Caenorhabditis elegans: one gene and its partners. The protein of the gene in region 3 interacts with the protein of the main gene of each other region in a pairwise test. Each region holds a gene or a part of one and is shown on either strand. Other genes may lie near its edges.

Evidence for each region.
Region 1: the proteins of imb-3 (region 3) and zip-1 interact in a two-hybrid assay, tested with the Caenorhabditis elegans proteins (one large-scale study listed by BioGRID).
Region 2: the proteins of imb-3 (region 3) and npp-4 interact in a two-hybrid assay, tested with the Caenorhabditis elegans proteins (one large-scale study listed by BioGRID).

What each region holds. Positions count from the first base shown.
Region 1 is NC_003281.10:12,334,808-12,338,562, reverse strand, and holds the start of zip-1 (BZIP domain-containing protein), read right to left. Parts: upstream 1,657-3,755; 5' UTR 1,640-1,656; coding exon 1,358-1,639; intron 1,312-1,357; coding exon 1,212-1,311; intron 898-1,211; exon of another isoform or gene 771-897; intron 1-770.
Region 2 is NC_003279.8:14,704,809-14,708,563, forward strand, and holds the start of npp-4 (Nucleoporin p58/p45), read right to left. Parts: upstream 1,715-3,755; 5' UTR 1,713-1,714; coding exon 1,285-1,712; intron 1,242-1,284; coding exon 1,150-1,241; intron 329-1,149; coding exon 1-328. Other genes in the region: Y54E5A.5 (Polysaccharide biosynthesis domain-containing protein), read right to left, coding at 2,358-2,459, 2,700-3,059; dus-2 (DRBM domain-containing protein), read right to left, coding at 3,481-3,751.
Region 3 is NC_003279.8:313,378-317,132, forward strand, and holds the start of imb-3 (Importin N-terminal domain-containing protein), read right to left. Parts: upstream 1,613-3,755; 5' UTR 1,602-1,612; coding exon 1,446-1,601; intron 1,398-1,445; coding exon 777-1,397; intron 726-776; coding exon 511-725; intron 466-510; coding exon 1-465.

The DNA of each region.
Region 1 (3,755 bases), on a different chromosome or scaffold from region 3:
AATGTTGCACATGCACAGAGATCGTGACGAGACCCACTCAGAAAAAACATCATGTGCCTTTAAAATGGAATAAATTTTTACGAATTTACTAGGAAAAAAATTACTGAAAACTGATTTTTCGGTGATGCTCTAAAGTATTAATGCTCTAAAGTTTTTCAATTTCAATTATTCCTAATGATAAATTATATAGCTGACCAGCTAATTGATCACATATGCTGCTTATCGTAATAAATGTCATTGATCAGGGAAAAAAATTTAAGTGTTAGCAATTCCGAAGGAAGTATGAATCATGTTTATGTTGCTGTTGCTAACATTTATTTCCGACAAGAGAAATATATGATTTTTCGAGATAATCATCCCTTATACTCCTCCTATCACCATTTTCGGGTGATTTTTATATCATACTTTTTAATACTATATTAATACTATAATATATTACTATATATATATATATATATATATATATATATATATATACTATAATATATGATATATGTATATATTAATACTATAGTATATAATACTATCATTTACTATATATAAAGCGCTTATTCCGTTTGTCCATAGTTTGTAGTCTATGTAGTCTTTGTAGTCTGCAGTTGGGGTACTGTAGTGGTACAATGGTGGCACGGTAGGAGTACTGTATGATTACGGTAGTTTCAGAAAAATTGGTTTTCAGCTCCAGAAGTCAGCTCCAGAAGCCACGGCTGGTATATATATATATATATATATATATATATATATATATATATATATATATATATATATATATATATATATATATATATATATATACAGTGCGAACAACTTCTATCGCGCTTCCAATTATTTTCGAGTTTCAGTACTTTCCAATTTTTTTTTCTCGAAAAACGGTGAATGCCATTTGATTTTAAATGTCAAAAAACCCCTTGTCGTAAATTTTTATCGAAAAATATCAAACACTGCGAGGACTATAGGTCAAAAAGTCTTAAAAACGACCGTGCAACTTCTATAGCGCATATTTTTTGACAAGGGGTTTTTTACGACAATTTACGACAAGGGGGTTTTTCGACATTTAAAATCGAATGGCATTTACCGTTTTTCGAAAAAAATTTTGGAAAGTACTGAAAATCGAAAAAAATAGGGGGCGCTATAGAAGTTGCACGCACTGTATATATATATATATTAATACTATACATCCGTTATATTTATACACCCGTTATTCAACTAACCATAATAACTCTTTATATCCCATTCAACTGCCTCATTCTCCGCGTTTATATAGTTGAGAGTTGGCTCAATTTGGGTCTCGACGCGAAGTTCGAACAATACCTAGAAACCGGTAAGCATTCATGGGCCTAACTCTTATTTAATATACCTTATCCGGATTCTTATCCACCGCCGTCATTTCAACATCCCCTTGATTATTCGGAAGAATCTCCATCGGAGCCAAATCCTCCTCGGCTGGTATGAATGAAAAAGGCTCCGTTCGTTGAAACTCAAGAGAAGCGTTCATCAGGTCATCCGGTATGACGACTCCCTGCGAATAATCGGTTATTGGATGAGGCGGCGCATTTTCAAGGCTAGTTACCAAAAAGTCCGCATCCATCATATCATCATCTTCCGAGAAATCGACGAAATTGTTATTTTGATTGTTCATTTTTGATAGTTTCTTTTCTGAAAAGTGTGCATTGAATTTTCAACTGGGAAATTTGCAGGAAAAAAACAACGGAACGAGTCATCGGATCGGACTTCAGAGAATGCTACAAAGGCTAAGCTATTACCGATCCAGAAAGAGTGTAGTCAGTTGAAGAGACACAGGCATCTGGGGACCCGGGAAAGAGTCAATTTGTGTCGATTTACGGAAGAGTAACACTTCAAAAAAATAAAGCTAAACCTAACTAAAACCTCCAATTTTGCGTTCCTATCTCGTGTTAACTGTTAGGCAAATTTTAGGCCTGTAGGCATTTAAAATTAGATGCCTAATGTACCTAGAGGCAACATTGAAGATTTCAGCTAAATTTGGCTAAAATTTGAACCGTCATAAATACATAAATACAGTGTGCACGTGGTGTCAGAGTGCCCCATATCGGTTTGATCTACGAGAATCGCGGAAATTTAGACGCAGAGTTCTGAACTGATTTTTGCGACCCCGGAAAAATGGGCAAAATTCGATATTTTAGCTAAAATCAGTGCAATTTTTTCAAAATTTTGAACCGCCATAAAAAATTTTTGAAAATTTTTTGAGAAGTTTCATTACGAAATTCGTTCATTTGAGTCCATTTTGGGTCTATACGTTCAAAATTGTTCGAACCGTTAGTCCTCCTTTAAGAGTAACGCTCCGTAAATCGACACAAATCGGCTCTTCCCCCGCGCACCGCCCTTTGGGTCCCGAGATGTCTGTGTCTCTTCAATTGACTACACACGCTCTCTCTCTCTGTCTGGATCGGTAATATAGTTCGTAACAAGAAAATCCCAGGCAATTTTTTGAACCAATCAAAAATGAAAAACTGTTCAAACAGGCCAAATTTAGCAGAAACCTTCAATTTCGCTACTAATTTTAGATGCCTACCTGCCTAAAACTTGTCTAAGTTAACACGTAGCTTAAGCCTCCAAATTGTGCACAAAAAAGTGGGAATTTGGAGATTTTACATCTATTTTTGCAAAATTTTAATAACTATATATAACTGTGCAATTCATTTGCTTAATTCCTGATTTTCCTTCCATTGCATGGCTATTTTGAAATACTCACGTTAAGTACTATTTATTAATTGAAATCAACTTTTTTCCAACAAATTAGACTTCCAAAAATAGTAAAAACTACAGAAATCGAAGGCAGAAATGAAGCGAATGGGGTCTTCCTCACTTTAAAATTTTAGGCGATGGGGTGGGAGAGGGCGCCAGAGTGAAGCAGAGAAGAGAGTGCTGATAACGAAGAGAGCGAGAGAGAAAGAAACACGAAATTTTCTGTTTACGCTGTCCGCATTTCCTCAGACAAGAAATAGTGTGGGAAATGGAGAGAGTGCTGTCTGTAGTCCTATGATGTGATCGGAAGGAAAGATCGACACAAAAAGTGATCGTAGTTTGGCCTTGTAGATCAGTTTGAAGAAAGTAAATTTGTTGAGACAAGTAGTGTATCTTCGAAGCTAACAAGATCTAATTTTAGCGAAAAGGGTCTCGACGCGACAATATTTGTTTTGAAACCAGTGTGCGCCTTTAAATGACCGAATCAGGGGTGGACGGTTCGCCAAATTTTTTTTCGGCAAATTCGGCAAATTGTCCGTTTTTGCCGGAAATTCAAATTCCAGCAATTTGTCGATTTGCCGGAAATTTCAAATCCGGCAATTTGTCGTCGATTTGCCGGAATTTCAATTCCGACAATTTGTCGATTTGCCGGAAACTTTAATTCCGGCAATTTGTCGATTTGCCGGAAGTTTCTATTCCGGCAATATGGCGACTTGCCGGAAATTCAAAATCCGACAATTTGCCGGTTTTTGCCGAAAGAAATTTCAAATCCGACAATTTGCCGATTTGTCGGAAATTTCAATTCCGGCTATTTGTCGATTTGCCGGAAATTTCAATTCCGGCAATTTGTCGATTTGCCGGAAATTTTCAATACCGACAATTTGTCGTCGATTTGCCGGAAATTCAAAATCCGACAATTTGCCGGAAATTTCAATTCCGGCAATTTGTCGATTTGCCGGAAATTTCAAATCCGACAATATGTCGATTTGCCGGAAACTTTAATTCCGGCAATTTGTCGATTTGCCGGAAGT
Region 2 (3,755 bases), about 14 Mb from region 3:
TATGCAATCCTTTCTGATGATTGTGTAGCCGTCAGAACATCCCGTCGAACTTCCTCAATCCATCCACGTGTCTTATCGATTTGTTCTTCGATTGCCACGTTGTCAATTGACATATTCTCGGTTTCTTCCATAAATTCTCGATTTTTCTTGAATTTATCCTCGATCAATGGGAGTAAATCTCTGATTAGAGTGGCCGCTTGTGTCCATTCACCGTCTTTCGAGGCATCTTTTGAGTCTCCGGTGCCTGTGAGTGATGACGTGGCAGTTCCTGAAGCATTTGGAAGCCCACCACCACTGCTGTTTTGTTGCTGGATTCCGCCGAGACCCACTGAAAAACAAAATGATTTTCAGGCTGCGCAATCTCAAGGCGGCAAACGATTTTTTCCGGCAAATTGGCAAATTGCCGGAATTGAAAATTTCTGGAAAATGGGAAAACCGACAAATTGACAAGTTGCCGGTATTGAAAAATTCCGGCAAATCGGCAAGCCGGCAAATTTGACGAAATTGAAAAATTCCGGCAAATTGCCGAATTTGCCGGAATTGAAAATTTCCGGCAAACCGACAAATTGCCGAAATTGAAAATTTCTGGCAAATGGGCAAACCGACAAATTGCCGAATCTTCCGGAAAAGCGGCAATTGCCGAAAACTTCCTGCAAATTGCGGTTTTGCACATTAATGTTGGAAATTTTAGAATTTTATTTTTTTCCGGCAAATCGGTAAACCGGCAAATAGCCAAATTGCCGGAAAACGCCAATTTTTGAAGAAAAATCGACAAAATAAAGCTTTTAAATGGATATTGCTTATTTTTCACGCATTTTTGGCTGAAAAATAGGAGGAAAATAAGGATTTTTGATGTATTGTTAGAAAATTTTCCAATTTTCTATAAAATTAGCGTTGTTGAACATAAAAATCGTACTATATTCGATTAAAAACACACTTTTGAGCTGAAAATGTCCGATTTTCAGATTAAAAACGCTAGTTTTGATAACTAAAATTTTGTCGAAATTCGGCGAAAAATAGGATTTCCAAATAAGGAGTTGAAAGTGGCAATTTTCTATTTAAAAAAGCATTTTAGAGCTGAAAATTCGCAAAAAATGGAATTTTTGTGCTGAAAACAGAGAAAAAAGAAGCTCCAGCATCTATACTAACATGGAGCAGCTGCAGTCGCTGGTGGAGCTCCAAATGATGTCGTTGCCGCCGCCGCCGGAGCCGTGCTCGATCCAAAAAGTCCACCTCCAAGCCTGAAAATTCAATTTTAGATGCATCGAAAGCTCTAAAACCAACGTCGGAGCCGCCGATGTGGTCGATTTCGCGCCAAAAAGACCTCCAGTAGCCGGGGCAGTACTTCCGAACAGACTTCCAGTCGCCGGAGCAGCCGTTGATGCTCCAAAGAGCCCACCAGTCGGCGCGGGAGCTGCTGTGGTGGCTGTCTTGGCTCCGAAAAGTCCTCCAGATGGTGATGCGGTGGTTGTTGTCGAACCGAATAGTGGAACTGAAGACGTTGAAGCAGGTGTAGGAGCAGTTGTTGAGCCGAAAAGTCCTGCAGAAGCTGGTGCAGGAGCTGTCTGAGATGCTCCAAAGAGCCCTGATGACATGGCAGCAGCAGGCGCACCGAAGAGGCCTCCAGGCTTTGGAGCAGCAGCAGCCGTTGAGCCAAAAAGAGGTGTTGTTGAAGCAGCTGGAGCCGTGGTACTTGTACCGAAAAGCGACATTTCTGGAAAATTAAATTTTTATGGAGAAGAAAGAAAAGAAATTGGGAAATTATTGATTTTTAGACATTTTCTATTCAAAAACAGAGGTTTTTGATGGTTTTTCCTTCGGGAATTCGAATTTTCGAAGCGAAAATCACTTTTTTTTTTTGACAATTTCGCTCAGAAATCACAGAAAACACTTTTTAACAGAAAAAGTGATTTTTCATGAATTTTGAGATGCTTATCCAGATTTTAATGGAGAAAAAACGGTGGGGATTCGAAAATTGCCAAAGAAACGTTTTTAGCATCCAACATTCGATTTCCGATGAAAAATTATCAAAAATCACGAATTATTCAGGCTAAAATTGAGTTTTAGGGCATTTATCCCACGTGTCTATGAGAAAATTTTGAAAAGTCAATTTTAGCACAGAAAAATTCATCAAAATCGACATTTCTTAGAGAAAAATATCTGAAAATCAATTTTTGGAAAAAAAATAAACAAAAATATAAGTAAAAAGAGCTGGAAAACTCGAGAAATTGGAAATAAATCATTTTTAAAAACGAAGAAATCGGTTTATATGCAAACTACAAGACAAACGACAGGGTGGAAAACGAGAAAACGGGGAAAAATCAACAAAAATTCAAAAAAAAAAACGAGAGAAATTATTACAAGGAGGCGAGCGAATTGCGGTGAGCCGTGTATGCCTCCTTATTCTTCTCGTTGACACCCTCCACGTTGCGTGCCATCTCGATTGCCAGGTAGATGATCTGTAATTAATTATCGATCGATTTTGTATGGGAAAATGAGGGATGAGGGGTTTTTGGCTGGAAATTGAAGTTTTCCCAAAAATTTAAGCTAAAAACTGCAATTTCCAGCAACAAATCATGCCGAAAATCACAAAATCTGAGTTTTCTAGCTAAAAACTGGGCTAAAAACGCAAAAACTGCAATTTCTAGCTACAAATCATGCTGAAAATCACAAAAATTTCCAATTTGGGTCCCACTAACTCTTGGAACAACCACAGTATTTTCCGGACTGTAAGCCTTCGAAGCATGAATTCTCATCAGTGTTCCCATTGAATAATCGTCGACGATATCCTTGAATTGCTCACAAAACTCGCGCCATGTCTCCTTGGCTCCGCCGTCTTTCAGCAAACTCGTCGTCACCTCCTCCACATTCAAATCGGGGAATGAGCTTCGAAATGCGGCGAGAATCGCATCCTGATGCTTGTTGAGCCGAAGAACCCGAGTGTCACACCGCATTATCAGATTCATGTGAACTTCGGACCGTTCGCCGGCTTTGATCGCCCAAGCCATCTCGATCGATTCGTCGTTGACGTATTTATCAGCATCTCCGTAGTCAGTCATTTTGTTACCTGAAAATTTGGAAAATTAGAGAGAAAATTGACTTGAAACAGGAGAATTAGAAGAAAATCATGTAAAAATCTGCAAAAATTGCAAAAATCCAAGTTTTTCAACAAAATTTGCGGAATTAAATTACATTTCTATAATCCTACACACTTAAATAACATTTTAAAGTGAAAATTACGCATGAAAACTCTGAAAAAAGCCTGAAAATCTCTAAAAATTGCGAAATAAATTCGAATATTTTTTAAATTCTCCAAACTCCGCCCATTTGCAACTGCCGCACGGCGTTTTGCCATCCCCGCGCGCGCAGTGGGGATTCGATAATTAATGGAATAAAACCGATTTTAAATGCAAATTATAGCAAAAACAAACAATTTTTCAATATAATTTAACAAAAAAATAGCAAAAAACAAATTTAACATCATTCTTCTTCCCAATTTCCAACCAAAAGATTCCGAATATTCATTCCATGTAAGGCTGCGAGCGCGGCGACCTGCTCAGCCATTCTTAAATTCGGTTGTCCAATTCCTGATCGATATTTCTTGTCACCAATACACGCCGTCGCCACGAATCGCTTATCATCTCGTTTTACGACCTCATACGTGGCTTTTGGGATCTTCGTCTCCACACAATAGTCGTGAAGCACCATTTTGGGCGTTGGCGAGAAGCCGACCGAGTTTTTCAGGCGTTTTCTGC
Region 3 (3,755 bases):
AGTTTCTGAAGAATGAATGGAAGATATTGTCCAATGATGCTCTTTGGGCACTCCTCGGCAAAGTTGACAAGAGCCGAAGCGGCATGAGCACAGACACGTGGAACATCGGTTCTGTCAAGAGACTCGAGAAGAGCTGGTATGACGGCGGCGTGGCACTTCTTCTGAAGAGTTGGAGCGAAGTCAGAAGACATTTGTCCGATGGCGTTGCAAGCCGCGTATTGAACTCTTGGATGAGCATCATTGACGTAATTGGTGATATGAGCCATAATTTGCTCTATGTGTGGTTCCATAGATCTTTGGCACCCTTCACCGACGGCGGAGAACGCGCGAAGAGCCGCGTGCTTCATCTTCCAGTCTTCGCTGGTCAAAAGCTTCTCGACAAGTGGAAGGAACACTGGGAGCATCACTTTTCCGTTGATGCAGCAAGCAACACGGTCGATGGCGCTTTCGGCGATGATTGGGATACTGAAAAATAATTTAATTGAAGAAAAACTAAAAATTTATCCTTACTCTTCATAGTCTTCTTCCTCTTCGATCTCGTTGAGCCACTCATTGAGCACATCGTCATCCATTTCGGTCATGCATGAAAGAAGAGTCTCGAGAATTGGTCCAAGAGCTCCTGGTGCGTATTTCTTGAGTCCTTTTGGTGCGGATTCCATGTACGAGCAAATAACTTCGATGGCGTTCTGACGGACCATCTCGTTCTTTTCCTTGTTTCCAGCAATCTGAAATTTGAAAAAATGAAATTTTTAAATTGGGCCATTTAAATTACTTACAGCAAGAGTGACTTGAAGAACCTGAGACATATGAGTGTTAAGGCATTTTGGCAGAGAAGAGGCGAGCTCGGCGAACTCTCCGAGTGGTCCATCTGAATCATCCTCGTCGCTGGTTTCATTGCAAACTTGAAGAACATTTGGAACAAGAGAGGTCATAAGCCTGACAACATCCTTCTCCTCATCATTATCAACAGCGAAAGCGATAACAGCACGGACGGCGGTGGCCTTGATTTGCAAATCCGGTGTAGCCATGCACTTTTCCAAGACAACTTTGAGGGTTGGAAGGAAGTGGGCCAGCCTGTTTCCAAAAATTATTGGGCATCCGCGAAGAATAAGCAGGGCTATGTAGTTTCCGGTAAGATCCTCGCTCTTCAAACAATGATCCATCAGCTCGAGGACTCCTCCCCATGTCATATCTCCAGAATCGTCGATGAGGTTTGAAGCGATTTCAGAGATCAAATCAGCAATCTTCTTCTTAATCGAGAGTTCGGTCTCGTGAACTATCATCTCGAGAACTTTGGCGAGAATGCGCTGTTTGTTCTCCTCGTTCAGCGTTTCCCAAATCGCATCCCAGTCTCTGGCGAGAACTCGTCGCAGAAACACCAAAACTGTGGATCTGGCCTGAAAATCGAAAATTCATGGAATATATAGGAATTTGAGTGAACTAACATCAGAATTATTCGTGTGGTGTGTGTAGGCCTCGAAAAGTGCAGCTACTTTGGTTGGTCCTTCAATCTTTTCATAGACTTCTTCAGCTTGTTTTCGGATATCATTGTCTGCTGACTGCAGTTTTGTGATGAGCTCAGTGAATTGATTGACGTCCATTGTAGGGAACCCTGAAAATCAGAATATGTGCTAAAAATTTCAAAATTGAGAAGGAAAAAGATGAAAGCGAGTCGGTTTTGCAGATAAACGCCTGGGGAATACGCGGAATCGCTGAGGAAAATAGATTTTTAGTATAAAAATTGGCATTTTCAACAAAAAACCTATCGGAAAATGTGAAAAATAGGCCAACAAATATTGAATTTTGGGACAAAAACGCCTCGAGTGCACGATTCTCAACGGAGCGCACTTGCTGCGTCACACGCACTTTAAACTGTACACGGCGGGAAGTTCAAATTTTAAAAGGATTCACGTGATTTTCACGACATTTACTGGTTTTTTCAGCGAGTTTTCGCAACTTTTCGGCGACAACCGATGATGATTTATGTTTGGAATATGATGATGGTAGCGTGTTGCGAAATAAAAAATCGATGGAATGAGTCAGCGAGAAACTAATATTTGCATAGAGAACTGTTTGCAATTTTGGCATTACATTGGCCAGTGCACTGACAAAAAAAGAAAAAAATAAACGGCAAAATCTCTAATACCTATTCCAGGCAACCAGTGTCTGGCGACGATGGAGAGTAATTCTGAAAGAGACGCAGTTGAAAAGAGTGTGTTTTTCGCTTTTTTTTTCAGACAGAAGAGTAAAAAGAGTAAATACGTATCAGTAGTAAAAACAATGTGCGAGCTGGGAAATCAGTAATAATTAACTACTTGTGATACAAATTCCTCAAGGAATGAAGGAGAAAGTGTACTTTTTTTGAGACCCGAAGAACTCGGGGGATGTCCAATTGGGGGGATTACCAACTCGGGGGATTGGCCCCGCCCACAGAACCGTGGCTTGCAATACGCCCATTTCTGCAACTGCCGCACGGTTTTAAAACTGTATTTTTCTCAATAGAGCGAGAATTAACAAGAAAAAATAATTTTAAAACCGTGCGGCAGTTGCAGAAATGGGCGTATTGCAAGCCACGGTTCTGTGGGCGGGGCCAAACTCCCGAGTTGGTAATCCCCCCAATTGGACATCCCCCGAGTTCTTCGGGTCTCCTTTTTTTTAATTTTGAATTGAAAAATTGTCCGAAAAGTGCAAACGTAGAACATCAAAACCAGTGGAGGGGCGAAATTTGATAGATCGCAGGTTGCAAGAATGAGCATTCTACGAGTTTCGCGCCATTTCTGCGTAGCGCGCACAATATTGTGCAATAAATCTCGGTATTTGCGTACATGCATCATATCTTACGCGCAAATCATATTGGAAATTTCCCCGAAACACGGGGAGGCAAAGCTAACGTGGCTGAAGAAATTTCTACAGTAGTCCCATTTGGCTGACTGAATATTCAACGCGAATAAGTTTTGTACACTATTGCGTACTTTGCGTACGCGCATTTTATTTGACGACAATTCGTCAATATCAGCTCTGGCTAAAAGCGCTTTTCTCATTATTTAAGCGAATAAAAGTCGAAAAAAAATGTTTTGTGATAGAGAATAGTAATTTAAAAAATAAAAAAGTGCATATTTTATGTTTCTCATTATGTTTCCACTGATTTTCTGAGAAAAACCGAAAATTTCCTCTTTTTTCGATGAATTTCAGCTGAATAGTTTGTTTTTATCTAGTTTTTCTTCCGATTGACTGAATAACACATTTAATAACATCAATATAACGTTTAAAACATTCATTGTCTCGAAAACCAATATAAAACTCGTCAGAGAGGGATACTTAGTAGATATGCTGAACAAGGAAAAGAGAGAGAAGAACATTAACCGAATGGGGAGGGGGGAATAAGAAATCTGAACAGGAACGAAATATAAAGAACATTATTAGAAAGAACAAGCATGGCTTGATCTTCTTGGCAGTCGTCTCCTTATCCTATCACTTCTTCTCGGCGTCCTTCTGATCATGCTACCGAGCAACGTGGCACGATCGAAGAGTTTCACAACGGTTTGATACTTTCGCTCCACGAGGGGGCTCCCAATTCAGCGAGGGTCCTCTCACGAAGTTTAATTTTTTAAAATTAAAAAATAAGTAACACCTCAAGAATTCCATCGAAGTTGTGCTCCTTTGCAATAAGACGAAATTTTTTTTTACGGAATTGAACAGGATCATTGAGGTACGGCATGAAAACGGCTTCCTCGTTGAACGATGTTGAAGCTCCT